Linked DNA regions of Rattus norvegicus. The protein of the gene in region 4 interacts with the protein of the main gene of each other region in a pairwise test. Links are inferred from orthologs where the notes say so. Each region holds a gene or a part of one and is shown on either strand. Other genes may lie near its edges.

What was found.
Region 1: the proteins of Traf3ip1 (region 4) and Pcnt interact in a two-hybrid assay, tested with the Homo sapiens proteins (2 studies listed by BioGRID and IntAct). The link is inferred for Rattus norvegicus from reciprocal best matches to the Homo sapiens genes TRAF3IP1 and PCNT.
Region 2: the proteins of Traf3ip1 (region 4) and Frmd4a interact in a two-hybrid assay, tested with the Homo sapiens proteins (2 studies listed by BioGRID and IntAct). The link is inferred for Rattus norvegicus from reciprocal best matches to the Homo sapiens genes TRAF3IP1 and FRMD4A.
Region 3: the proteins of Traf3ip1 (region 4) and Fgfr1op2 interact in a two-hybrid assay, tested with the Homo sapiens proteins (2 studies listed by IntAct). The link is inferred for Rattus norvegicus from reciprocal best matches to the Homo sapiens genes TRAF3IP1 and FGFR1OP2.
Region 5: the proteins of Traf3ip1 (region 4) and Snap91 interact in a two-hybrid assay, tested with the Homo sapiens proteins (2 studies listed by BioGRID and IntAct). The link is inferred for Rattus norvegicus from reciprocal best matches to the Homo sapiens genes TRAF3IP1 and SNAP91.
Region 6: the proteins of Traf3ip1 (region 4) and Sfr1 interact in a two-hybrid assay, tested with the Homo sapiens proteins (2 studies listed by BioGRID and IntAct). The link is inferred for Rattus norvegicus from reciprocal best matches to the Homo sapiens genes TRAF3IP1 and SFR1.
Region 7: the proteins of Traf3ip1 (region 4) and Kansl1 interact in a two-hybrid assay, tested with the Homo sapiens proteins (2 studies listed by IntAct). The link is inferred for Rattus norvegicus from reciprocal best matches to the Homo sapiens genes TRAF3IP1 and KANSL1.

What each region holds. Positions count from the first base shown.
Region 1 is NC_086038.1:12,237,353-12,240,852, reverse strand, and holds part of Pcnt (pericentrin), read right to left. Parts: intron 3,344-3,500; coding exon 3,227-3,343; intron 3,121-3,226; coding exon 3,100-3,120; intron 1,817-3,099; coding exon 1,613-1,816; intron 1-1,612. UniProt on the Homo sapiens protein: Integral component of the filamentous matrix of the centrosome involved in the initial establishment of organized microtubule arrays in both mitosis and meiosis. Plays a role, together with DISC1, in the microtubule network formation.
Region 2 is NC_086035.1:78,853,077-78,857,376, forward strand, and holds the start of Frmd4a (FERM domain-containing protein 4A), read right to left. Parts: upstream 2,801-4,300; 5' UTR 2,503-2,800; coding exon 2,359-2,502; intron 1-2,358. UniProt on the Homo sapiens protein: Scaffolding protein that regulates epithelial cell polarity by connecting ARF6 activation with the PAR3 complex. Plays a redundant role with FRMD4B in epithelial polarization. May regulate MAPT secretion by activating ARF6-signaling.
Region 3 is NC_086022.1:181,228,798-181,232,297, reverse strand, and holds part of Fgfr1op2 (FGFR1 oncogene partner 2 homolog), read right to left. Parts: intron 2,235-3,500; 5' UTR 2,233-2,234; coding exon 2,098-2,232; intron 1-2,097. UniProt on the Homo sapiens protein: May be involved in wound healing pathway.
Region 4 is NC_086027.1:99,545,176-99,548,675, reverse strand, and holds part of Traf3ip1 (TRAF3-interacting protein 1), read right to left. Parts: coding exon 3,491-3,500; intron 3,090-3,490; coding exon 3,006-3,089; intron 2,279-3,005; coding exon 2,155-2,278; intron 1,952-2,154; coding exon 1,915-1,951; intron 1-1,914.
Region 5 is NC_086026.1:96,694,508-96,698,007, forward strand, and holds part of Snap91 (clathrin coat assembly protein AP180), read right to left. Parts: intron 3,059-3,500; coding exon 2,983-3,058; intron 1,922-2,982; coding exon 1,819-1,921; intron 790-1,818; coding exon 696-789; intron 1-695. UniProt on the Homo sapiens protein: Adaptins are components of the adapter complexes which link clathrin to receptors in coated vesicles. Clathrin-associated protein complexes are believed to interact with the cytoplasmic tails of membrane proteins, leading to their selection and concentration.
Region 6 is NC_086019.1:256,559,137-256,563,332, reverse strand, and holds the start of Sfr1 (swi5-dependent recombination DNA repair protein 1 homolog), read right to left. Parts: upstream 2,801-4,196; 5' UTR 2,737-2,800; coding exon 2,724-2,736; intron 1,835-2,723; coding exon 1,665-1,834; intron 1,037-1,664; coding exon 644-1,036; intron 1-643. UniProt on the Homo sapiens protein: Component of the SWI5-SFR1 complex, a complex required for double-strand break repair via homologous recombination. Acts as a transcriptional modulator for ESR1.
Region 7 is NC_086028.1:89,746,621-89,750,120, forward strand, and holds part of Kansl1 (KAT8 regulatory NSL complex subunit 1), read right to left. Parts: intron 898-3,500; coding exon 715-897; intron 273-714; coding exon 84-272; intron 1-83. UniProt on the Homo sapiens protein: Non-catalytic component of the NSL histone acetyltransferase complex, a multiprotein complex that mediates histone H4 acetylation at 'Lys-5'- and 'Lys-8' (H4K5ac and H4K8ac) at transcription start sites and promotes transcription initiation.

The DNA.
Region 1 (3,500 bases), on a different chromosome or scaffold from region 4:
ATACCAATCTTGGACTATTTCTTCCAAAAGCAGAAAAAGGGGAAAAAAACTGACACAAAGAGCTCAAGAGCTGACTAATGTCCCTGGTGGGGACAGAGAGATAATGTCGCAGAACATCTGCACACGGAAGGAAGCACGATGAGCAGGGGAGCTGTGAGGCTGACTCCACACTTGCAAACGCCACCACGCACACCACTGTATTAACAGGCTAACGGGGAACAAGGGCATGATTATAGAAACTCAAAGAAATACTGAAAGACACCGTTTCCGAAACTCACTTACAAACAGAAACTTTGGGGCCCATCACACTGGAATTGACCTACTGCTACAAGTAATCACTGAACAGCATAGGTAAGTGTCCACTGGGCTAGTAGCAATTACAAAACACAGAACAGACAAGAACAGGACAAGCTGGACGATATGTCCAACTGCCGAACATGAATGTATGAAAAAGTATCCAAGGAATGAAGGGACGGCCTAGCAGTTGAGAGCACTGGTTGCTCTTCCAGAGGACACAGGTTCGATTCCCTCCAGCCCATAGAACAGCTCACAACCATCTATAATTCCCGTTCCACCCAATGCCCTGTTCTGGCCTTCAAGGGCACTGCACACATGTGATGCACAGATATACATGCAGATACAACAGCCACACATATATAATAGAGCAATATTTTTTAAAGAAATGTTTTAGGCTGGAGAGATGGCTCAGCAGTTAAGAGCACTGACTGCTCTTCCAGAGGTCCTGAGTTCAATTCCCAGCAACCACATGGTGGCTCACAACCATCTGTAATGGGATCTGATGCCCTCTTCTGGTGTGTCTGAAGACAGCTACAGTGGACTCATATAAATTAAATCTTAGAAAAAAAAAAAAAAGTAATGTTTCAGAGAACATTTACCATAGTAAGCACGCTCACAAAACACTGGGGAATAAAGAAACTGGCAAACAATGTCAAGTGGTCCAATGGGAGGAGAACAAACAGGCATTTTCTATCTCTTTATATCTAAAGTTCAGTGAGCTCAAGTCAAAGGATAAGGCTGCAACAGCCCTGAGGTGAGCTGTAGGAAGTGACTGGAGCAGGGTAAGAATCCTCAGTGCGCAGGTTAAATAGGAGAATCAAGAGAACAAGGAGAATTCAGGTTCCCGTCAGCACTTTTGAAAAAAGCTCCCCTCGGGAACACTATTGAAAACTGCGCTAACCCCTCAAGGGGGACTCCTGTCTCCCTCGAGCTACTGACTGCTGAACAGCATGTCTCCTTGGCTCTTACTCTGGTAACATCTGATGACAAAAAGCAAACGAAAACTCCCAAGTTCAAGTCCTGAACTAGTCGCTCAAACACAGACACAACTGAGTCTAGGGACTGAGACAGCCCCATCTTGAAAAAGCCAGCCTGCTGCCCCAAGGCCACTAGGGACATCTGTCCAGGCCTACTATGAGGTTCAGGGTACAAGCCCCTTCCTGAGTCTCAAGCCACGTGCCCAAGAGACACTACAGCTCTGTGCATGGCCAGCCCCACGAAGCCCTGTGACCCACCCCACACCCGGCTTAGTACTTGGACCTACGTGACCCATCCCACACCCGGCTTAGTGCTTCGACCTAGCCGGGAGCTTTACCTCTAACTCTTCCGTGCTTCTTCTCTGTTTTTCTAGTTCTTCCTGGAGCTGGGCCATCTGTCTTTGAATGTTCTCATTTGTCTCCTCAAGATGCTTAATCTCTTCCTCTTGGATTAATAACTGTTGATCTGCAAGATCTTTCTTTATAACCAATTCATTAAACCCATCCAATTTTTCTCTCAGTTTCTCTTGTAACAATTCCACCTAAACATGGAAACAAATGTATGAAGAACATTAGAGTTTTAAAACAAAACAAAACAAAAAAAACCTTCCAAATTAAACTGTCAATAATAAAACCAGCCTGAGTCAGGCCACGCCCCCTCCACCTCTCCCAGAAAGTATCAGGAGGCAGGCAGTGACTTGACAGCTCTGTTTATGATGCCTGGTTCTTCTACCCCGTTTTGCCATATGTACCATTGGCTGCTCTTCCAGAGAGCTTGGCTTCAATTCCCAGCACCCGCACCTCACAACTGTCTGTAACTGTAGTTCCAGGGGATCCGACACCCTCACACAGAGACAGATGCAGGCCAAACACCAATGCTCATAAAAATAAAAAGCACTTTTACAAAAGAATTGCGAAACAAAGGAAGGAAAAAGTCTGGGCTATGGTGGCACACTTTGGAGGCAGAGGCAGGTGAATCTCTGAGTTCAAAGCCAGCCTGTTCTACAGATAGAGCTCCAGGATAGCCAGGGCTACACAGAAAGAAAAGCCAGTCATGACGGAGTGTGCCTTTAATACCAGCACTTGGCAGGCCGAGGCAGGCAGGTCCCTGAGTTGAAAGAAAGCCTAGTCTACATAGTGAGTTTCAAGACAGCCAGAGCTATGTATCAAAAAAAAATTTTTTTACATACATGCATGGATGTTTTGTTGAAGGCTGAGCTGTGTCCCAGTCATTCTCAAGCTTACTGAAGGGAAGCCCGTTCTTCCTTCCCTTTGAGGTCCTATCATGCTCAGTCTTTATATACTATCTCCATATATTTCTCCCCAATGTTCTCTCCCTCACTTGGAGATCCAATCATGGCCTTGAAGCCTGCTCATCTATTGACCCTCATCCCTAAAGGGAATTACGTACTGTACGTCAGCCTCCTTCCTGGACCAACTGCCACTGTTCCTGTTTTACATCTAACATGCAATAGTGTGAGAAGAACTAACTCATGGGAAGGCATCGAGAGGCCTGTGGCACTGGAGGGCTGCAGCGGGGCCTCACTGCATCCCTTCAGCCCAAGGCTGGACAGCAGGGCTCTCGCTCAACAAAGAACCAGGTCTATGCCTCACAACTTCCTGGGAACCCATTCTTTCCTGATGTGTCATTTTTAAAAAAAGCATGAGCAAATCAACTACAGCTGCATCTGACAGGGGGTTGCAGACTTCCACAGCCCCAAACAAAAGCAAAGAGCGAGCAGCAGGGCAGCACAAACAGCAGCAAACCACCAGGCAGGGTGTGGGAGAGCTGTGCTAGGAAGCTGGGAGGTGTTGTTCATCCTACCTCCTCATCTAGCTTGGCGCACTGGAGTTTCCATGTCCAGGGAAGGCAAAGGGTAAAGGAAAACAAAGCTTTAAAATGTTGCAGTAACCAGTCACCCACAGACAGGGGACACCACAGGCTGACCTACCTGACTGTCCCGGGGCCCCGGAGGCCGAGGCCGGGTGGCCTGGCGGAGCTGCCCCTCCAGCCATTTGATCTCCTGCTGGAACTCTTCTCGTTCGTGCTCCCGCTCAGCAGCCTGCTCCTAGAACAGGAAGCCACATGTGAGGACAGTACTTTGGGGGGACATGCGACAAAGCCACAGAATAAGGCTGCAGCCACACACCACACATGTCCACTTACCCAACAACAACCCCTTTGCCCTTGCCAAGTTTTCAAAATGGAGCTAAAAGAAATGATAT
Region 2 (4,300 bases), on a different chromosome or scaffold from region 4:
CATACATACACATGTGGAGGGCAGAGGTCATGTTAGATTGTTCCTCAGGAGCCCCCCACCTTAGGTTTTGAGACAGAGACTCTTACTAGGATCTGTAATTCCCAGAGTAGATTAGATCTGCTGGCCTGTGAGACCCAGCGCTCTGTCTCTCTCTGCTTCACCATTGCAGAGATTCAAAACCTGTGCTATCCCTCTAGGCTTTTTATGCGGGTCCTTAGTGTTGAACCCAGGTCTTCATGGTCATGTGACAAACACTTTGCCCAATGAGTTATCTCCCCAGCCATGTATATATCAGGTGATAATCTGGTAGAAGGAAAGTGAAGGCAAGAGGGTGATTGAAGGTGGGGTAAAGGCCAGAAGCCAGGTCCCCAAACTCATTTGCGACCACGGCAATGTCTGCAGAGACAGAATTATCTACACCAAGTAAGTTGTTCCGAATGCCAGGATGGGGGAGGGGAGACATGGACCAGAAAGGGACATTTCAGGAAAGCTTCAAATGGACAAACCCGCAGACTCCTTCTTCCTCTTGACTCTCCCAGCGAGGTTTGGTTATTGTGGTCCCCGAAACCCCAGAGCTCTTTTAAATTCATAACTTGTCATTGAAAAGATTAAGTATGTTTTTTTGATGGTTGTTCATTTTGGGGGATATCCTCATTTATTTTACTTGTGATTTATTTGTGACACAGCTGCTGTTTCTAGGAACACTTGTAGGTATTATGCCTCCTTCGAGGACAAGAATTCCAGAAAAAGTTTACCTCCAGAAACGGTGTCTGTATGTCTATAGTCAGAGAAGGGACCAGGACGGGGATGGAGTATACACATGAAAGCCACCCAACACTTGGGGCCTGGCTTCCAAGGAACTGTCCTTGATGCAACCTCCCCAGGACACTGCGTATGGGGAGAGGAGCATGAAGCCTGGGGCTATTTAAACATGGTGGTTCTTTAGGGGATTACACACCGCCAAATCACACCTAGAAAATACAAATCCAGCTGTAGCTATCTGCCTCATGCCAAACAGCTTGGTGAGCCAGCGAACAAGGAAAGAGGCCAAACCCGCTCAAGTTTAATGAAATAAACTGGGTTACACAGAGCTGTCAGCCAAAGAGAAGCCTGTGACTGCCCTTTGAAGAGGCAGCCAGAAGAATTTGGTTTCCCTCCCCCAGCTCCGGGTGGCTGGTCCCTCTCAGGGTGGGCTGGAGATCTCAGGACTGACACCTCCCGGGCAAGTGGGAATGCTACCAGTCTGCCCTGTTGGTGGTTGCAGGAAACAGATACTCCTGTCTCCCTCTTGGAAGTGATCTACATTTCCAGACAACTGACCATGAGTTATCAGGCTCTTGTGCAAAGTGTCATCTTTGGGCTAAGGTTGATACTCAGGGATAGAGTGCTTGCTCAGTCCGTGTGAAATCCTGGGTTCCATTCCTACCATTGCAAAAAAGGAAACTGAAGGGCTGAAGAGGTAGCCCACTGAGTAAGGCTTGCTGAGGCTTGAGTGTGATCCTCAGAACACAGGAAAAAAGCCAAATGTGATACCATGCTTGTAACTCCCATACTGGGGTCCCGAGGCTCCCAGGCTACATGGTCCACTTGGAATCTTCGAGCCTCGGGCCAGAAGAGGATCTCTTTCAAACAGCAGGTAGGTAAACTCCTGAGGAAGGTCATCCAAGGTCACCACACTTACATGTTTCCACACACACAGGGGCACCCTCATGAACATGTGTCCCGCCCATGAGATGAAAATACTGCGGACCAAAACCCAATAGCAAGGTGTTTTCTTTCTCATAGGCGTGAGTGAGAGACCTGGCTCCACTCGTCTGATTCCAGAGACTCCTGTGCGAGCCAACAAAAGGAGAAGGGACTGAGGAGAAGACCTGGGGTTCCTGCTTAATGCCCTTGCCTCCATGATGCTCTACTGCTTATAGCCACATCTGTCCCTTACCTAAGATTGTTGTCACACCTAACTGGTGTGCACATCGCTCACAAAACATCAGACCTTGCTTGGGGATCTGGAACCCATAAAAAGCATTTTCTTAGTCTCAACAGCCAGAAATATGGTGCTTTAAATCACTGGTTTCTACCATTTGCTCGTAGATAAATTTAAAGCAATGTGCATGCAATCTTTAGTAACCCCATCCTTCAGCTGGTGACCCTTCTTTATAGGGGTCACCTTGCACACTGAGCTTAAAGCACCTCACATGGGCCCAGGTATCTAAGAAGGCATATCCCATGAAGGTTACCCAGATCCTAATTGATTGCAAGGTGTTCCCCAGTTTCAGAGAAAGATCCTCCTTCATCACTCCTCCCCACCCCCACAAACCCCCACACAGCAAAGCAAACCAAAACAAGCATTGGTCCTACCTGGTAGACAGCCCTGGGAATGCACCATGGCTTTAACATCAGCTGCAGAAGATGCAGGTTTCCTTCTCTGCAAGTCCTTAGGACCCGGCAAGCAAGGTCCCAGCTACAGGGTACGTCCTCAGAGCCCAAGAGCCCAGCAGCCATGCCAGTTCCAGGTCCCAGCCTGGTCCCTCTGTCCCCAGGCCTACATACAGGGCTCTTTTCGTGATGCAAAGTCCTAACACCACTGAGATCTAATCAGACAAGGCAAAAATGCAGTCAAAATAATTCTGCTTTCCTTGACATCCTCTCCCCCTACCTACCCTGGCTAATCTTGAGGGACTGTTTTCCCTCAAGGATTAACACAAGGCTCCAGGTCTCTGGGGACCCTGCAGGCACCAGGGAAGAATAAACCCTGTCCTGCAGATAACCACACATCCTCGTCTCTCCTTTACCGTCCTGCACACTGCTGCTGGCTCTTCTGGCAGGTCTAGACACAACTGAGTAGAGTGTGAGGCAGAAACATTCCAGGGCGAGAAAGTGGAGGGGAGAGAGCTCCAGAGTCCCCTGCCAGCATCCCCACGACATTCCAACTATTTTCCCTAACTCTCAGAAACTTGGAGAACCCAGGAGTTTCTGTAGGGTGAAGCCAAAAGTTTAATTTTACACCCACACTGGAGCACTGGCTGTTTTTCTGTGTTACTTGTAAGGCACAGGCCATTTTCTGTGGAATCATACTAAATTTAGGCTGGGATGGAAAGTCAGGAAGCTTATAGCATGTGTTTAATAGCCATATCCACAGTTATGGGGGCGAATGGAGAAAGGAGGTCACGGCAACCTAAATCTCTCTTCTTTTTCTCCTTTAAGATCTGTGAATGTGTGTGGGACCGTGAAAGGCAGCCTGGTTCCTGGTTGAGCTAAGGCTTAAAGCCCCAGTGACCCTGAAGGAATGAATAGTAGGCATTTCACCTGACTCCCAGAAAACCAGGCCCCTGTCGCTAGCCACAGCCCTCCATAGATTTGTGGCCATCAGTCACGTAAAGGCAAAGTCCCAAGCCCCTCCATAGGTAGAGGATGTGACCTGTGGCCAAGACAGATCTCCATTATAATGAGGTACCTAAAGGCCTGGAGGCTTAGCCAATAGCATTTCTCCCCAGAGACTCCTCCCTGCAAAGGGTATTTAATCTCAGGCCCACCCTGAGAAGTGGGGTGTGGTTTTACTCATCCACTTTCCGCCATGACAATAAATGTCTTAAAACCACGGACTGCCATTTTTCATCAGGATCCCCTGTGGTGGGGAGCCATGGAGAAGGCCTTCCCCAACAGAGCTGCTCTCTCATCTCCCATAGAAGGCTTCTCTGCAGCGGAGGCCACCACCAAACCAAACCAAGCCAAGCCTGCGGCCCACCACCACCAAGCCAAAGGCTCTCCATGCAGGACTCGCCAGAGCCCCCCCTTTTTCCTCTCGGCCCTGGGCTAGATCCAGCCCAGCAGGGCCTGCATGCCCAAGAGCTGGAGAACCCAATGGCCAAGACTTCTTGAAGGTCCAGGGACCCCCAAGTCAGCTCCAACTGTGTCCTGAGCCTCAGACTGCACTCCCTCACCCCTGGAGTGGTGTCCCATGGCTTCCCTACAGCCTGACACCCGCCCACTGTGGGGGCAAGTGCGGTCAACTCCCGCATCCCACCTGCAGCCACAGTGCTCTGAGGTTGAGCTGACACGGGGACCTCCCAACCTTACACATGTGCAGGCTGTTTGACGAATAAATGGTACATAGAACTTAACCTAAGGGAAAGACAGTTGAATGGGTTGCAACTGTTTGTGAGCTCAGTTTCCCCTTAATTGGGTTTTTTGGTTTTTTTTTTTTTTGTTTTGTTTTGTTTTTTCGATAGGTGTCTTGCCCTTAGATCAGGCTGGTCTAAAACTTGCTGTATGTCCCAAGCTAGCCTTGATTTTTGTATCC
Region 3 (3,500 bases), on a different chromosome or scaffold from region 4:
ATGTGCCACCACTACACCTGATTGGATTTTGAAATTTTTCTTTTAAAGTGGGAATCCAACTTTAGAATTACATTCATTTTTCTTGAGGCATTCTTACTGAACAGCTATCAATATTCATCTTGAGGCATTCTTACTGAATAGCTATCAATAAATTCATCACAACTGGTGGTTTGAAAGAAAATGGATCCCATAGGCTCATAGGGAGTGGCACTATTAGGAGGTGTGGCCCTGGAGTAGGTGCATGACTAGGTGGGCCTTAAGGCCTCAGAAGGTCAAGCCTGATCTTTTCCTGTTGCATCAAGATGTAGAATTCTCAGCTCCTTTAGCACATCTGCCTGCATGCCGACATGACAATAATGGACTAAACCTCCCACTGTAAGCCAGCCCCAATTAAATGTTTCCCTTTAAAAGGATTGCAGTGGTCATGGTGTCTCTTCACAACACTAAAACCCTAACTAACACAGTAACACTTCTGGTTCCTAACTTAAGGAGTCGAACTTCTTTTTAAAAACACATCACCACCTGGTCTATGCTTACTGGAGTGCAAGAGTCAGGCTGGATGGTCAGGGAGCAGATGGCTTTAGGGAGACACAGATGCAAAGTAGAGTAAGTGAACTTGCTATGCTATTTCTGGTGACTTTTAAAGAGCTTTAGTTCAGGACTGCTTTCTTTCTTTTTCTTTCTTTCTTTCTTTCTTTCTTTCTTTCTTTCTTTCTTTCTTTCTTTCTTTCAAGAGATAGAGAAAAACACAGTTTTCCTCTTTATACCCCTGGCTGTCCTGGAACTTGCTCTATAGCCCAAACTGGCTTCGAATTCAGAGAGCTGCCTTCCTCCCAAGTGCTGAGACTAAAGGAATGTGTCACCACTGCCCAACTAGGGCTGCTTTTTATAATGGCAGATTTAAAACATACTAGAAAAAATTAACTTGAAATAACTGCATAGAGTGAAAATTAGATATTTTCTTGCATCATTTCCAAAAACTATATGGGTGCTAAATAATATCCAAGCACTTTTATAAAGAAAAGTATAAACATCTTGACATTATATAACCCAGCAAAATGTCCAATACATGCCAACATTAGTGAGATGTATAATCTGGTCCTTAACAAATGTATTTAGACTCAACAATTCCACTTATTATTTGACTCAAATGTGCATTTTAGTCAGAAGAGGGATAAAATTTATAGGGTTTAAAATAAACCTACCTCTTAGTCAGGTTTCTATTACTGCAGCAAAACATCATGACCAACAAGCAATTGGGGAGGAAAGGGTTTATCTGGCTTACACTTACACATCTCTGTGCATTATCAAAGGAAGTCAGGACAAGAACTCAAACCTGGCAGGAACCTGGAGGCAGGAGCTGATGCAGAGGCCACAGAGGAGTGCTGCTTCCTAACCTGTTTCCTATGGCTTGCTCAGCCTGCTTTCTTATAGAACTCAGGGATGGCACCACACACAATAGGCTGCCTCCCACCTCCATCACTAACTGACAAAATGCCTTACAGCTGGATCTCATGGAGGCATTTTCTCAACTAAGGCTCCTTCCTCTCTGATGACTCTAACTTGTGTTAAGTTGACACACAAAACTAGCCAGCATACCTACCTACATACATGTCACTGAAACATGATAATATACCCTAGTCCAAAGTGAAACAAACATACAAGTGAGGCTACTTGAATTTTAATTAGACATTATTTAAGTAGTAGTTTATTGTGGTGGTTTGAATGAAAATGGCTCTCATTAGCTTATAGAGTTGAACACTAGGTCACTAGGGAGTGGCACTACTTGAAAGGATTAAGAGCTGTGACTTTGCTGGAGGAGGTGGCCTTTGGGGTCCCATTCTAAGCATAGGCTCTCCCTGCTGCCTTGTGGATTCGGATGTAGAACTCTCAGCATCTACTCCAGCATGTCTGCCTGCCACCAAGCTATGGCCATGATAATAATGGACTAAATTCTGAAAACTTTAAGCAAGCCTGGATTAATTGTTTTCCTTTATAAGTGTTAAAAGAACACTGACTGAGAGATTTATAATTTATGTATTACTTAACCAAGTATCAGCAAAACTTTGGTGTAAAGTTAGCAAGAGAAAGTCAGACCTGTTTCATGGCTTCCACTCGCTTGCTGAGGGCAGTGGTCTGTTCGATGAGAGACTCTGCTGCATCATCATGGTCTCTCAACCGTTCAACAAGGGCCTTAGCATCAGCAAGTGCCTTCTCAATGGTGCAGCTCATTTCTAAAGGAGAACCAGTAAGTAAGTTAAAATCAGGACTTAAAGTTAACATATCACCTTCTCTCGGCGGTTTCATATCATAAATTACCTTAAGCTTCACTTTCTGAGACTTCATTATTTAGAGTGGAAAAGCAGTTAGGAATACCATGCACTGCCTGGTAGGATACTATAAGCTTAAATGCAAATCTGACTGTAAGAACTCTCCCTAACCTGCCCCCATCCCCACCCCATCTATGTCAAAGTCTCAACCTCTTCTTGGAGGAGCTTCTGCTTCTTATGTAAAGTGACATTAAAAATCTCAGTTCCCAAATCTTTCCTAGGGGTGGGAAGTTTCCACAGAGAATATCATTAGCCACTTCAGGCAACTTTCACTGTGTTTTAAGAGGCACTTAAGGGATTCTGAGATGGGTGAACCTAACATTCACCTCTTTTCTCAAGCACATGGGCTGGAAACAGCAGATGTTCCGCTGCACTTTGAAGGGGTCACCAAGGGCAACCCTAATAGCAAAGCGAGCAAGGGGCTGCAGGGTGGCAGCAGGGGCACAACAGCAGGATGTCTGCTGAAAAGAAGCCATGGCTCAGGCAGGGCAAGCCTTCTGTCTGCATCCTGGGTGAACAAGAAGTTCCAGCGACCTACTCAGTGTGGATCCAGGCCCCAGTCAGAGCAGCAATGCTGCTGGGAAGCCTGAAGTCCACACGGTGCCCCCATAGGAGGCTGACTGATGGCTGTGCTAGTCTCCAAACCAAAACAGAAATCTAAAAAAACAAGAGATGCCTTCTATAACAGATTCCAAAAAAGACAAATAGGTGAAATGCTGGACAAAGAGTTCAGCAAAACTGGGCAGATCTTTGAGAGTTCAAGGCCAGCCTGGTCTATAGGGTGAGTTACAGGACAGTGTACACAGTGAGACCCCATCTCAAATAAACAAATAAATAAGCAAACAAATAAGGAAACAAACAATTTGAGAATAGTTCATTAAAAGCTCAGTTTGGGGGCTGAAGTAATGGTTCGGGAGTAAAAATGCGTGTTGCTCTTGCAGAGAATTGTAGTTTAAGTCACAGCACCCACATCAGGTGGCTCATAACTGTCTATGACCCCAGGTCAATACTCTACCTGGCCTCAACACACTCCAATGCACATGTGCATACCCACACAGACAGACACACACATATGTAAGCAAAACTTAAGATCAGACAGCTCAATGGATCTAAGAAAATACAATACTGAATGAAATTAGAATTACAGAGCAAAAAACCTCAAAAAGAACT
Region 4 (3,500 bases):
TTAGATTGGGCAAGAATACTAAATTTTGTTTAGAATTCTCCACGGTATGAAGAGCTCATGAACAATCTTCTCCTTAAAAAGACTGTCTTACAATGCTGTGTAGGCTGCTGGGGGGAGGGGGTGTGTGCTACCATCAGTGTAACCAAGCTTCGAACTACACTGCTGACTACAGCAATGGCCAGTGTGCCACCCATAGGTGCTACAGTGGCATCAATGTTATGCAGGCAACCGGCCATTTTCTGATTGAACTTGAGACCCATTCTACAAAAGGAAAGTCAAACACAGTTCTGTACGTCTGGCCCCAAAACTTATGTTTGGGGAGCTCACCAGTCCCAGGAGACAGCGTCTACTCTACTAGATGGGCACACCATCAAACTACCCACTCATTGTACCCCTGTGCTCACAGATCAGTGCTGCCCTCAGACCTCATCAGACAAGTGTCCTCGTTCAGTGGACGGTGGTTAATGTGCAACTCACAACCAATCAAAGAACAGGCAATACATGGCAACAGCAAGCTCAGCCACAGATGGGACAGCTCCACTGCACCCTAACCTGCCCTCCAAGGCTCAGGAACGTCATGGAACAGGGGTGAAGACAGCTGTGAGAGCCAGATAATAGGGAAGAACGGAGAGAAACAGTGTCAGAATGTCAGTCAACATTCTAGTGAGCTACCCTCTCGGACAGTCGGTGGCTTTGGGGGAGGGAGAGACTTGGTTTTGAAGGGTGTGGCTCATGCTAGGTCAGTCAGCTCCAGTAGATGGTCCTAGCATATACCCAGGAGCTACAGGCAGCCCAAATGAAGTAGATAGCGGTTTTTTGTTTTGTTTTGTTTTTTTGGTTTTCTTTTCTTATTTTTTCTTTTTCTTTTTTCTTTTTTTTCTCTTTTTACAAAGGACATAAAATTGAGAGGAAGTGGAGAGAAACTGGATGGATCTGGGAGGAGCAAGGACGAGGAATGGGGACACAAATATGATCAAAATATATTTCACGAAATTCTCAAAGAATGAAATTACACTTAAAAGTATCTTCTATACGAAATGCCTCAGGCAGACTGAGTGGATGAGTGATGACATATTATGTACATGGTGTACAACATGCTGCTATGAAGAGAGGCCATGTCTGCCTCTGTGCTGGAGTGCAAGCCAGCAGACTATCAAATTCACACACTCACACACACACACTCACACACACACACACGCACACATACACACACTCACACACACACATACACACACTCACACACACTCACATATTCACATTTTTTAAATGGAATCATTTCTCATATTTCCACCTGAACCTATCGGGGAGAGGAATATAGGGAAGAAGAACAAGAAGTCTTACACCTCAGCGCTGGGTGGGGTGGTGTAGACTTATAATCTCAACATTCACAAGACAGAAGCAAAAGAATAGTCAAAAGTGGGTCTCCACAGTGAACTCTAGGCCAGCCAGAGCCACACAATGGGACCCTGCCTCACACAACAAAACAAAACAAACGTACACCTCTTAATGTAGCTGGCTATGAACATTTAACCTTAAAGCTATAGGAACAGTTACATGAATAAAAACCAGAACTGAGTTGGACATGGAGTATACCAATAATTCAGTATGTAGGAAGCTGAGGCAGGAAGATGGAGAGTTTCGGGCAGCCTGAGCTTTACAACAAATTCTAGTCTCATGTTCATGTGTGTACACAGGCATGTATATACACAATGTCTTGGGCAGACAAGACACACCGCCACTATGACTAGAGCCCATCCTCATCTCAGGTCCTGTGGTCCTCCAGGCCCACATGGCAGCAGCATCGGTGTCCCTCCCTGAACCCAGCTTGTGCTAGGCAGAGGATGGCCACTAGCATCCTCAGAGTACTCACAGAGGGACGTATACACACGCACAAGTGCTGTGGTCTATACTCACCATGCTTCTCCTCATCCTCCAGGTCCCCTGATGGCACCTGGGCAGAAAGGAGAAAGATCAGGGAAGCTGAACTTTCAATGCTTTTGTTACCTCAAAATAAGCAAATAAATAAATAAGCAAATAAACAAGCAAATAAATAAATAAAACAAACATAAACTAGACAACTAACTGGAAAATTAGAAAAATTGTATGTACGTGAACTGGAAAAGCTCAGGTCCTCACTTTAGACGTCTTACTAACCATTTCAATTTCTGCGATTTCCGACAGCTGCGGGGCAGCTTCCACCACAAACTGCTCGTCGTCCTCATTGTCGGAGTTCTGGGAGTCGATGATCACAGTGGAGACCGTCTTACCACTTCCCGACCTAAGCAACAAGAGTCATTCCGTTAGAAGTGACCCATCAGCCACCAGTTATCATCACCCCCTTGCTTCTGGAAACCCCACAGTTCTCAGAAAGGAGCTGAACTGCCATTGCCCAAGACAGGTGAAGGGAAATCTCAGGGAACAGTGGGAACAGAGAGAATATCACCTCCCACACAGCAGCCTCCATGCTGTTCAGAGCTCCAGGCCACCCCAGCCCTCTACCCCAGCCTTACTGGCCCTTCTGCTCCACAAAGGCCCTAGGGACCGCCCTGTTCCCTGGCATTGACTCTAAGATACAGCAAAGGTGGCACATGCAGGCCACGGGACCCAGGACCTCCCCTTTCACAGGTCCAGCTACCGTGCCCAATACCTCTGGGGTGTTTCAGCTTTGGGGTACCCGTGATTTAACTTTTGTACAACTTTTCATGCTTTGAAAGTCTTCTATCTAGAGGTCAGGGAAACACAGCCCAGTAATGGCCCATGCATTCTGAGGCATCCTATACATGAACACATGTATTTTTTCCCTTTTGCTAGTCTGGAATAAATGCTTCTCTGTGGTTTAAGGCAGTGACCTAACCCTATCTTTCTTCAAAGCAACATTTTCCAGCACTGAGTACTACATCCTACGAAGTTTCTCTGCACAGGCCCAAGACCCTGGCATCCCATGGCCCATGCACTAGAGAACGTGGCTCCAGTGTAACTAGAACCTCCTGGCCAGGCAGCCTCACCTGTCCCCTGCCAGTGTTTCTGTGCTCTCTTGTCGTTTGACCCTGGGAGGTGCTGGCCGTGCACTCCCAGGCCGAGGTATTCTTCTAAATAAATTTTGGAAGAAAAAAAATACAATATGAAACACACACAAATCTCAAAGTGGACAGAACGAACAGCCAGGCCAGAACTAGTGTTCGCTCCCACGCCACTGTCGGCATGATAGTCACTTTGCAGAGGAACACCGGCACCATTAACCAAGCACCTCTGCCCTTCATCAGAGCACGACAGACCTTCCCGCTACTAGAAACGTCCCCAATTTGTACAATGCCCCAGCCACAGGCATGTAACTCTGGTACAAGAAAACTAGAGGTAGCTTTTCCTCACTTTGTACAGCTGCTTCCTCAGGACTCAGCACGAGTGCTGACTGGGCAGCAGGTGCGATGGGGGGAAACCCACAGCTTGCCCTAGGCATGACCACACTCCCAAACCCCGGGAGAGGACACACCTGAGGCTGG
Region 5 (3,500 bases), on a different chromosome or scaffold from region 4:
CCACAACCAATTCAGGTTATGTTTCCTTTCATTATTTTTTACTTCATGTGTATGACTATTTTGCCTTCATGCCTGTCTGTCTGTGCACCCCTTGTGGGCCTGGTGCTTATGGAGACCAGGCTAGGGCATCTGACCCCTAGGAACTGGAGCTGGTTGGGAACTGCCATGTGGGTGTGGTGAACTGAACTCCGTTCTCTACGAGAGCAGCTACTTTCTTAAGCACTGAGCTATCTCTCCAGACCCTCAGGTAAGCTTTTAAACAAGCAAATAACACCTACTGAGTGTGACAGAAAACACTTGTTATCTGTGATAATACAAAATCACTCTCTGGTGGCCAGTGTCACTCGGGCAGTCCATGTCAGATGGGCTCTGACCAGAAAGCATGGTTATTTAGCTGCCTGAGGAACATCTTGTGCATACTTCATCTTACAAGTGCACCAAGACATCATTTTACTCAGAATAGAAGGCTCGAGAAAGCTGTGTTCGCCTTCCTCTGACCTTAGGAAACGGTTTGTAGACTTTGGAACATTCTGGAAGCCTCGGAGACTGAGTGAATGTTCCTGTAATCCATCTACACGAAGGCCTTCTAGAGAGGATCCTTAGGGCAACCTCTAACTGACCTGCCGCCCTTTCAAAGGAAAGACAAGGAGCAACTATGGGGGAAACGTTTTCCATGAGGCCCGTGAGGCACGTACATCGAACTCCAGCAGCGCGTCGATCTGCCCCTGCAGGATTGGCATGCTCTTCAGCAACTTTTCAGGAACCATTGTCCTCATTACACCGTCGGCCCTGCAACACCGCAAACAAACAGAAGCACGTATCCTTGTGAGCGCTGGGAATGCAGGGCCGTCTCTTATACCAGTGGTTCTCAACCTGTGGGTCTAAAGGCCCTTTCCTACAGACTGCGTGTCAGACACCCTGTAATCAGACATTTACATGATGATTCTTTTAAATGTATGTCTATTCATTTTTATTTATGGTTTTCTTTTATTCTATATGCACTGGTGCTTTGTTTGCACATCTAACTTTATTAGGGTGTGGTTTCCCCTGGAACTGGAGTTACAGACAGTTGTGCTATGTAAATGCTGGGAATTGAACCTGGGCCTCTGGAAGAGCAGCCAATGGGTGCTCTTAACTGCTGAGCCATCTCTCCAGCCCCTCTGTAGATTCTTAAAATAAAATAATAAACCTTCACCACACTTTACCATTACCTTCAGATATAAACAGACAAAAGATCTGCATGTGTTTCTGGCTGATTAAATTTGGCCCAGATTAAACCATTGATGTAGAGGCAAATAAATGACACCTGTGTATTAAAATTCATTTTTTTTTTTTTTGCTTCACGGAGACTTTCTTAAACAGTAAGTAATGTCGATAATTAAATTATGGTATGCATATTTCCTAGGAAATTATTACCTCTCAAAACTAAATCACCACATATACAGTTTTCACCTCAATTAAGATTCATATAAATAAATAATTTCATTTAACACCACCACACACTGCAATTAATCCTGTCAGTTCTTCCCATATTTAAAGGCATTTCTACTAAGGATGCTGAGTCAGTTTTAACAAATAAAACTTTGCACCACTTCATTTCTGAGCAGCCAATCAGACTGTTCTGCATGGACACACGAAGCACTGTACACTTCAGGGAACCTCCTATCATACTGACTTCCGAAGCCGTTTCTTCAGGTGAATGTGGACTGGGCCTTCCAGGATCAACGCCAGCTGGCATGTAAGCTGAGTTAAATAAACCTTGCATGCCTACAGGACTTACTGTGCTTAAGTAAATAAGAAAAGGAGCGAGAGCCATACCCTTTCTTCACTCTGGCAAAGTCGAATGCCATCTGTCTGTAGGAGAAAGCCTTCTCATTCAAGTATCTACTATAACGTCGTATGAACGTGGACATATCATAACCTGGGGAGAGGGAGAGGAGACGAGTCATGAGCACAGCGCTTTCGACTGGACTTTTCATACGAGTTTCTACGGCTCTTCTTTTTTCTTTTCTCTTATTGGATGTTTTCTTTATTTACATTTCAAATGTAAATGTTATCCCCATTCCCCATTTCCCCTCCACAAACCCTTTATCCTGACTCCCCTCCCCCTGCTTCGATGAGGGTGCTCCCCTACCCACCCACCCACTCCCACCTCACCACCCTGACATTCCGCTACACTGGGGCACTGAGCCTTCCCAAGACCAAGGGTTCCATCCTCTGCACATATGCAGCTGGAGCCATGAGCACCTCCTGTGTACTCTTTGGTGGGTTCAGTCCCTGGGAGCTCTGGTTGGTCGGTACTGTTGTTCTTATGGGGTAGCAACCCCCTTCAGCTCCTCTAACTCCTCCACTGGGGACCCTGTTCTCTTCAAAACAGACAGGGATTGTCACGGTTGCCTCTGAGATGGAGCTCGCCAGGTTGCAGCAAGCCGCGTTTATCAGCTACTCACAAGCCAAGATTCCTCCACATGGGCCGCTCTGGCCATTCAGTGTGGCAAGTAGACCGTCCAGCATGGGATGTCTATTTTGGTTTTTCCCCTTGCATTTGTATTTACTGTTGCACACAGCAGCCTGTTTCATGTGTAACACATGCAGCCATCCGCTACGGGGCTATCTAGCTTTACATGTATGTGACAGTAAGCAAATACAACGAGTGAGCCAGAGGTCATGGCTCAAGCCGCATCAACCTACAAAAACATTCCTTTAAGAGGGGGACTTTCTTTAATTTGGTTGATGACTTCTACTCCCGCATCTCCCGGATCTTTATAAACAAACTGTAAGACAGATTAACCCAAGGTTCACTTTCCAAAGTGAACACTCCGAGTGACAAAATAAAATTGGTATATATTTTATATGATTCACTGTGTACAATTTAATGGCTAATTTAACAGTTACTTTCACATTACTTTCTCAAATAGCCAATGGGACGCACAGTGACAGTGACTCTGGATTAATGTCCCCCCCAGCTTTGCTCGTTCTCACCGTGGGATCCACTCTTATCTAGAAAGTTGCTCAGGTTGAACAGCGTATTTCTAGAGGCCAAATACTGAATAAATCTCTGAAAAATAAAAGTGAGAGTTGAACACCCATATTTGTGCCTCCAAAGAATCTATGATGCTAAAGCGGTATTTCATTCATTTAGTTTTACAATTTCTATTGTGTTCACTCCATTACTTATGCAGCACCCTATGCCGCTGACTTTCTCTAAGGGAGAAATTGTTTTGAAAACGCCAAAGAATCATTCCGTGAGTCACAATTCAATTTTGTGAACTTTTACTTCTGCATGTGCTAGAAACCCTGAAAATTTAATAGGCTTCACTAGGAATTCCGTGTACAAAAGAAATAATTAAATTTTAATCAATATTTTCCAAAAGTAAATATTCCATTAAAGCAATCTTCATTAACAAATAAGTTACTTCCTGTGGAAAAAACAGATCTCCTGATTCTTTCTCTTAACATTTTCATCCACAAATACGTTCACACAGAATATATATGTAAGT
Region 6 (4,196 bases), on a different chromosome or scaffold from region 4:
AACATATTCAAGCTTAAAGCATTTTCAACATTTAGCATCAGTTACATTTAGAAAAGTCCTAAAAGTTCAAAACCACATATAAGATACGCTATTGTCATTTACTCCACATTTTGGGGATAGAACGAGGTGATCTGTGGGTAAGAGCAGCAGCGATGTCTCCTCCTTCCAAACATCCATGTTCTATTTTACTCAACATGTGTGAGCTGAAACCTAAAATCTGTGTTTTCTCAAATAAAATGCCTGACATTTTATCAGACACATGATCGTTACGGAAAGTGCAGCACCCAGCATTCTGTGGTGTGTTTTTAGTTCTAGCGACATCCCTTTCTGTTCCCACTGCACCTCCATCCAACACCTCACACTTCTAATCTTGCTCCTGGCTAGAAATTAGAGCCCACAAGCTTCATCTGTGCATTAAACAAGAGCTGAAGCTTTGAAGCTTTTAAGTTCTACCTCGTGTTGAAGGGGCTTATCTGCCTCATTCTGAACCAGTTATTTCTAATTCAGTCAAAGCTCTTGGTGTAACTAACTCAGGTTTCTGGGTTTTTCGGCTTCTTGTTTATCAGACTAAAATTTATTTCCAATTTCTGAATTTACAGCAATTTATGTAAAAATGGTTCAATGGTTCTGAAATTCTTCTCACCTTTATTCTGTACATTTTGACTAACTTTAACCTCCGAAGAAGGTCTTCCTTCTCTTGAACCTGCCTAGTCAGTTTTGCTTTTTCTTCCTTCAAAGTTTGCTTTATAGTCTTCTCAGTAGAATCTTTTTGGAGGACACTGGATGACCCAGTATCAAGTGACTTAGATTCACTCGTATTTTTATCCTCTGAGCTCTCTTTTTCAGGTTCATTGTCTTTGTTTTCCAGGCTTTCTTGGGCTTTTGAACAGTTTTCTTCTTTTGAAGATTCTCCTGGTTCTGAAAGGGTCTGATCATTTTCTTCATTCTCTACCTTAATACGCTTCACCACACTACAAAAAGGTTGAGATGAAGCTCTTGCTTTCTTTAATCTTTCTTTAAGTGTCCCACTCATAGGCTGAAAAAGACACAAAACATCAAATGTTAAGAATATATTCTTGGGGCTGGGGATTTAGCTCAGTGGTAGAGCGCTTACCTAGGAAACACAAGGCCCTGGGTTCGGTCCCCAGCTCCGAAAAAAAGAACCAAAAAAAAAAAAAAAAAAAAAAAAAAAAAGAATATATTCTTGAAGTACATCAATGTATTCGAAACAAAGTCTGTACGCTTCTATGGTAGGTACAATGGGTTGCTTTTGGTCTCCAAAAACCTCAAGTGGGCATCACCAATGTATCTAAGTTCCAGAGGCTACCTTTAGTCTTGCTTTAGCAAGGTTACCGTCATTGGCAGCTAGTATTTGCCTGACAATACTAGAAACAGAAATGTCTCAGAACTATAAACTAAGGAGAAGACCTGCTACCAAAGACTTCCCCCTGAAATACGGTACAGATATGTTTCCTTGGTTTGGAGCATCTCAGTAACCTGGTAAGAAATTAAACGAAATGAACTGATTCAAGAAGAAAATCTGGCAGTTAGCAAGGTATGGGCTATATATTAACTCACACTCCAGTATCCTTAGAACTGCCACTATTGGAATACTTTGAAACACAGGACAGATGGGGGTAAAGGACAACACAAAATTTTCATACTTGTTTTCCTGAACTATTCGAATGGAGTGATGGTGGATTTTCACTGGTCTGAGGCTTGTCAGGTGAGGTTGGGGGTGATGGTGGATTCTCACTGGTCTGAGGAATGTCAGGTGAAGTGGATGCTGAATCTGAGGGGTTTTCCATCTTGGAAGTGATCTCCTGATTTCCTTCTAGAAAGGGAAAGACACGAGAATGATAAATTAATTATCTCAAAACAGACCTCAATTTTTTCAACAAAATTTTCTTCAGTGAACTAAACACCAAAAAAGTCAGCAATTTCTTCCAATTATTTGTACCTGTAATTTATTCTAATTCTTTTCATATTCTTTCCATTTACTTCTCCACATGGGGAGTAACCAAATTTTGTTTCTTTCACGACAAATAAACCGGCTAGTATCTTATTGACACTCATTTTTCTCCTTCAAAACATCTCCAAAAATTTGGATTTCGGGGAAGGGAACTAACTCTACGTAGTCAAGAATTTTAATCTTTGTTATAATTTCGTAAATAAAAGCGATACAGTCCGAATCTTGAATCCTAAAAGCTTTGTGCCTAGAAGAATGAGTCCCAAGGAGCCAGAAAGCAGCGTCGGCCCCTTTTGGTTTTCTAGGGTCAGGGCCTCTGCCTTCCTCCCCCGCCCTATCTTTTCCACCAAGCCCCGCCTTCTCCGCCCCGCCCCCTCCGCCCCGCCCCTCACCCCCCACCACAGAAAGCCCTCCCCCCTCATTCTCCCTTCTCTACTCCCTCCCCCGCACCCTCCCCTCACCCTCCCACCACAGAAAGCCATCCCCCCTCATTCTCCCTTCTCTACTCCCTCCCCCGCCCCCTCACCACAGAAAGCGCTCTCCCGCTGCTCCCTCCCGCGCTCTTTTTTCTAAGCCCAGTCCCCCTCCTTCTCCTCTCCCTCCCCCTCTCCTCCACCTCCCTCACCATAGAAAGCCCTCTACCCTACAGAGCAGGAAGTCGAGCCCCCGCGACGCCGGGAAGAGCTTCTCTATCAGATATGCAGACACCCGCAGGCCTGACGCGCAGACCAGCCCCAGGGAGAAAGCTCAATACCTTCCTCAGCCATGCTCACAGCAGACACAGCGTACACAACCAGCGTAGCGCCCGGAGTACACTGACCTCGCCCCGGGGGCGGAGCCCCACCGGAGGAGAGACGTGCGATTGGCTAGCTTGACCGTAGCGGGCGGATGTGCTTTGTCCAATTCCGACTACGCGTGCGCGTAGGCCCACGAGCCTCAGCCACGGGGCGGGGCGGGACCAGGGGGGAGGCGGGCGCGGCTCGTGATTGGCAGGACTGGCCGGCGCGCTCCAGGGCTCGGCCACGCGCGCAAGGCCGCCAGGCTAAGGGTGGCTTCCAAGGCAAAAAATAGTGTCAGGCCTTTGGACGGGCCTGAGGGGGGCGCGCTTCCGCTCGCCACTTCCTACGAGGGTTGCTGTGCCAGCCGCCTTCCCAAGCAGCTTCCCTTGGGGGAAGGGAGAGGGGTGCATCCTCTGGGTAATGGGCCTGAGAGCACCGCCCCCGCGCGCCCGCCCCCTGGCAGTCTCCGCTTTCACAACAGCAGAGGCTTTTCCTCAGACGTGGCAGGACCGGAAGCCGCGGGGCCCGTTTGGCTCCCTGCTGGCGAACGCTTCCTTAGCCTTTTGTGGTCTGTTTGGAAGCCAGCTTGATAGGAATCTATCCCGGCGTCTCTGCACGTGCAGTAGAGAGCATCTCCAGCTTGCTTTGCAGTCTCGCCCCTTTATTTTGGTCTATGCCCACTGGCTTCACTTGTTTTGGTCCAATCTGAGAAAATGTAACCTAAGGAAGTGTATTATGGCGCAGGACAGGAAGCGGGACTGTCGATCCGATCGGGTCGGTCTAGCATCCAGAAGTTTGAGAACTAGATCCCGGGGTGCCCCTAGGAGGCCCCTTGCTAGACGCTGGGGAGCCCCTGGGAGGCCCCTTGCTAGACCCTGGCTCGACTCCTGGGAGGCCCCTAAGAGGCCCCTTGCTAGACCCTGGCTCGACTCCTGGGAGGCCCCTAGGAGGCCCCTTGCTAGACGCTGGGGAGCCCCTGGGAGGCCTCTGGCTAGACCCTGAGAGGCTGCAACGCCTTCTGGTGTTAGGGATGTTCTGTTGCTATGCAACAGCAAAGTGAACTAGCTTGGGTGGAGCACTGGGTGTAGAGAAGTCAGCTGAGTAACCTGTGAGTCACTGGGAAGTTTGTGAGAGAGGACAAATCTCTTTCCGAATATCTGCTAATGGTGGCTTTAAAGTAATCCGAAAGAAGTGGTCGGAATCCTACGCAGTCAGTTATAAATACAGAACCTAACGAAACTTTTGGAGGTGATTAGATCTGCAAATGTTGCAGTTGCCTAGATTCCAGTGCTGGCATTGTGGTTTTTTATTTGCTTTGTTTTTGCTATAGCGTGTACGTAATGTGGACGTGTACCTCATTTTGATGGTTTGATAAATGAGAATAATATCTACCTCCTAGAGACAGAGAAATTAAATGATAATTTATGAGAGGTAGCTAGGTACCAAAA
Region 7 (3,500 bases), on a different chromosome or scaffold from region 4:
TTAGGGTTTAAGAGAAGCTTGGGCTGTCCCAGAAAGCTCTGAGCAAGTGCCAATGCAGGGAGAGGTGCCGGGCCTGGCCGTACCTTCACTTCTCTCAGATGAATGATCTCGCAATCTCAGTTTGCTGTGGGTTGGGTCATGCACAGGTGGCGGTAGGTGGAGCAAGCGCTCTGCTTTTGGAGCTGTCACTCGCTCCACCATGGGCACAGCCCCCACATCGTCTAAGTGCTGCCTGTGGGTCCTGTCAGGCCGTGTTTGGTGATGGGACAGCTCTGAAGAGGGGAACAAAAAAGAGCTGTGAAATACATTTACTCAAATCTTATTTGAGTTCTGAGCTCTTCAGTTCTCCTTAGGCTATACACGCAGGGCAGCAGGGTAGTTAATGGTACAATAGGTAGGAAAGGGACAGGGAGCCACACACAGAAATGTTAACATCAGGCTTCAGAAGTCATCCTGCCCACAGATGGACCAGGATCATATTGCTGCTGGCTGTTCAACTGAACATTCAAGGTCCCGCCTGTTTGAAATAGCTTCCAAAGTCTATCAGAAAGCATCCAAAACCATCAGACGGAGTAAGCTGTGAGCTGAATTTGTATTAAATAACTAAATGCTTTCCTCAATTCAAGAATACTGGCATAGGAAACCAAAAAATACAAGAGGTAAATACTGTAGTAATAGTGATTCCAGAGGACTCCTCAGTTCTCAGAAACTTACTGGATGTTGTAAGGAAGGAGTTGACCAACTTGTGCCTGTCTTTACGAACTGGATCTGACAGACTGCATGGCATGGGCGCTCTGTGCTTAAGAGAAAACTTTTTGGTAGGTTTGATCTTGTCAAAAGGCTTGTTTTGCCACTGAGACTTCAGCATGCTCTGGAAGTGCAGGCTTGTGGGAACATCTGTAAGAAACATACAACATTGCAGGTTAGTCTTGAGAACCTGATGCCTGGACTCCTGTCCTTAAAGGGTGTTTAGTCACTGACTCTCCAGAGGTCAACATACCCATCTCACACACCTCTCTGGTTTAACACGTAGTCTCACTTGCCAAAGCAGGGGCTGTTATGGAAGAGTCACTTATGTCATCTTTTTTTTTTTTTAAACTTATTTATTTATTTAATGTGAGTGATTGCACTGTAGGTGTCCTCAGACACACAGAAGAGGGCATCGGATCCCATTACAGGTGGTTGTGAGCCACCATGTGGTTGCTGGGATTTGAACTCAGGACCTCTGGAAGAGCAGTCAGTGCTCTTAATGGCTGAGGCATCTCTCCAGCCCTTATGTAATCTTTATTGATGGCCACTCAGTAGTGTCACCATCTTGGCCTTTTATTTACAAGTTCCAGTAAGGTTTATACAACACCTTTTTTTTTTTTTTTTTTAAATTGATGGGAGACTTCCTTTCCCATGTATTACTCTAAGTTTGTTGGCCTTATTGGTGTGGTATATTGTAAGCATACCATTTCAATTCTAGACACATATTTAAACCTACCTCTACATATATACAAGCACGATACACTCATTGAGCACTACTTATGCTCACGGGGGCTTGTGTTGGTGTATGACACAGCATATCCTATGATGTCTGCTCTGAAGTACTAAAGTGCTTCTTCCAGTACAAGCTATGTCATCCCTCTTGCTCTAGAGCCCTACCATCTTGCCTTTGATTATGTTTTCTTTTTTCTTTCTTTTTTTTCTCTTTTCTTCTTTTCGGAGCTGGGGACTGAACCCAGGGCCTTGCACGCAAGCGCTCTACCACTGAGCTAAATCCCCAACCCCAGATTATGTTTTCTTTTAAAGCTGACTTAAAAAAAAAAAAACCGTTCCCTCTCTATCATCTAAGACAAAGTCCTACTATGTTCCTTAAGCTCTAGTGATCTTCCTGTCTTAGCCTTCTGAATAGTTGTGACTGTAGGCATGGACCATCATGGCTGGCTCTGAATTAATATGTATTTTCCTAAGAATTAAGTATTTTAGTAATTCCTTCGAAAAATAATTTTTAGGATCTTAATTATTTTCCTGTAGGCTTACAGTTATTTTCCATTTTACTCTTATAGCTAGTACTTAGGTACTAAAGACAGTGTAACTGTTTTTAAGCTTTTGTCAAAACAAAACAAAACACTCCAAAACACAAACACAGCACCTGAAAAACTTAGGCAGGAGGTTTGCTGTGAGATCTAACGCTACAGCCTAAGAGACTGTCTTAATAAGAACCAAGCCAGGCCCTTTAGTGCCTTCTCAATTTTGGTAGGTCACTGTTCACTTACAGTGTATTCCTGGTCTATATTATGGAGTTTTCTGATTTTTTGTGGCAAGGTCTAAGTAGCCTTTGCTAAACTTTGCTATGCACACCAGGCTGGCCAAAACTCAATTCCTGCAAAAAAAAACAACACCAACCCAAGCTACCAGGGTTGCCAGGCATGTGGTTCAAAAGAACAAAAGTAACAGCATTTGTTGGTACTGCACTGAATATAGGTCACAGAGCTGCCGTGGCCTGAGCCGTTCAGTCCATGAACATGTGCATCTTTCCCCACTTACTTGCTCCATTTGGTGGTGTTAGAGATTGACCTCAGGCCATGTACTTGCTATATGTACTCAAGATATATCCTCTAAGACCGATTTAATTTTTCTATGTTTAGTAGTCACTGGTCAAGGTTAGTCCTCAATACAACCAACAAGATTGAGACAGTCAGTATTTTGCCATGGATCAGAGGCTGGTCTTTAAGTCACAGCAAGACTGAGATTAGTTTTGTTTTTTTTTTCTTCTTTCTTTTTGGTTTTGCAGACAAGAGTTTCCTACAGTCTTGAACTCAGATATCTGCCTGCCTTTGCCTGAGTGCTCGGATTAAAGATGGTGTCATCACCACCTAGCAACAAACAGCTTTTAAGTCACAGCCTTGTCTTTATAGTCCAGGCTGGCTTTAAACTTTAAGTGATCTTCTTTCTCGTTACCCAAGTCCTAAGATTAAAGATAGAAGCAATCATGCCTGATTTTTTTTTTAAAATGAAAAATTTTTTTCTAAAATTGTGTGTGGGTCCATGAGTAAGGTATGTACATGTGGTGCAGGTATGTACAGAGGCCAGAGGCTTCACATGTCCCTAGATCAAATAAGTATTGGGAACTGAACTCACATCCTCTGAAAGAACAGTATACTTTTTTAAAAAAGATTTATTTATTTATTTATTTAATGTATACGAGTACACTGTAGCTGTCTTCAGACACACCAGACCTCATTACAGATGGTTGTGAGCCACCATGTGGTTGCTGGGAATTGAACTCAGGACCTCTGGAAGAGCAGTCGGAACTCTTAACCGCTGAGCCATTTCTCCAGCCCAGAACAGTATACTTAACAGGTGAGTCATCTCTCCAGGTCTCCCAATTCTGGAGGGTTATTTTGTTGTTGTTGTTACTCATTTGTTTGAGATAAGAGTCTCTCTATTATGGAACTCTGGCTATCTTGTAATTTTCTATGTAGATCTGGTTGGCCTTGAACTCACAGAGATCC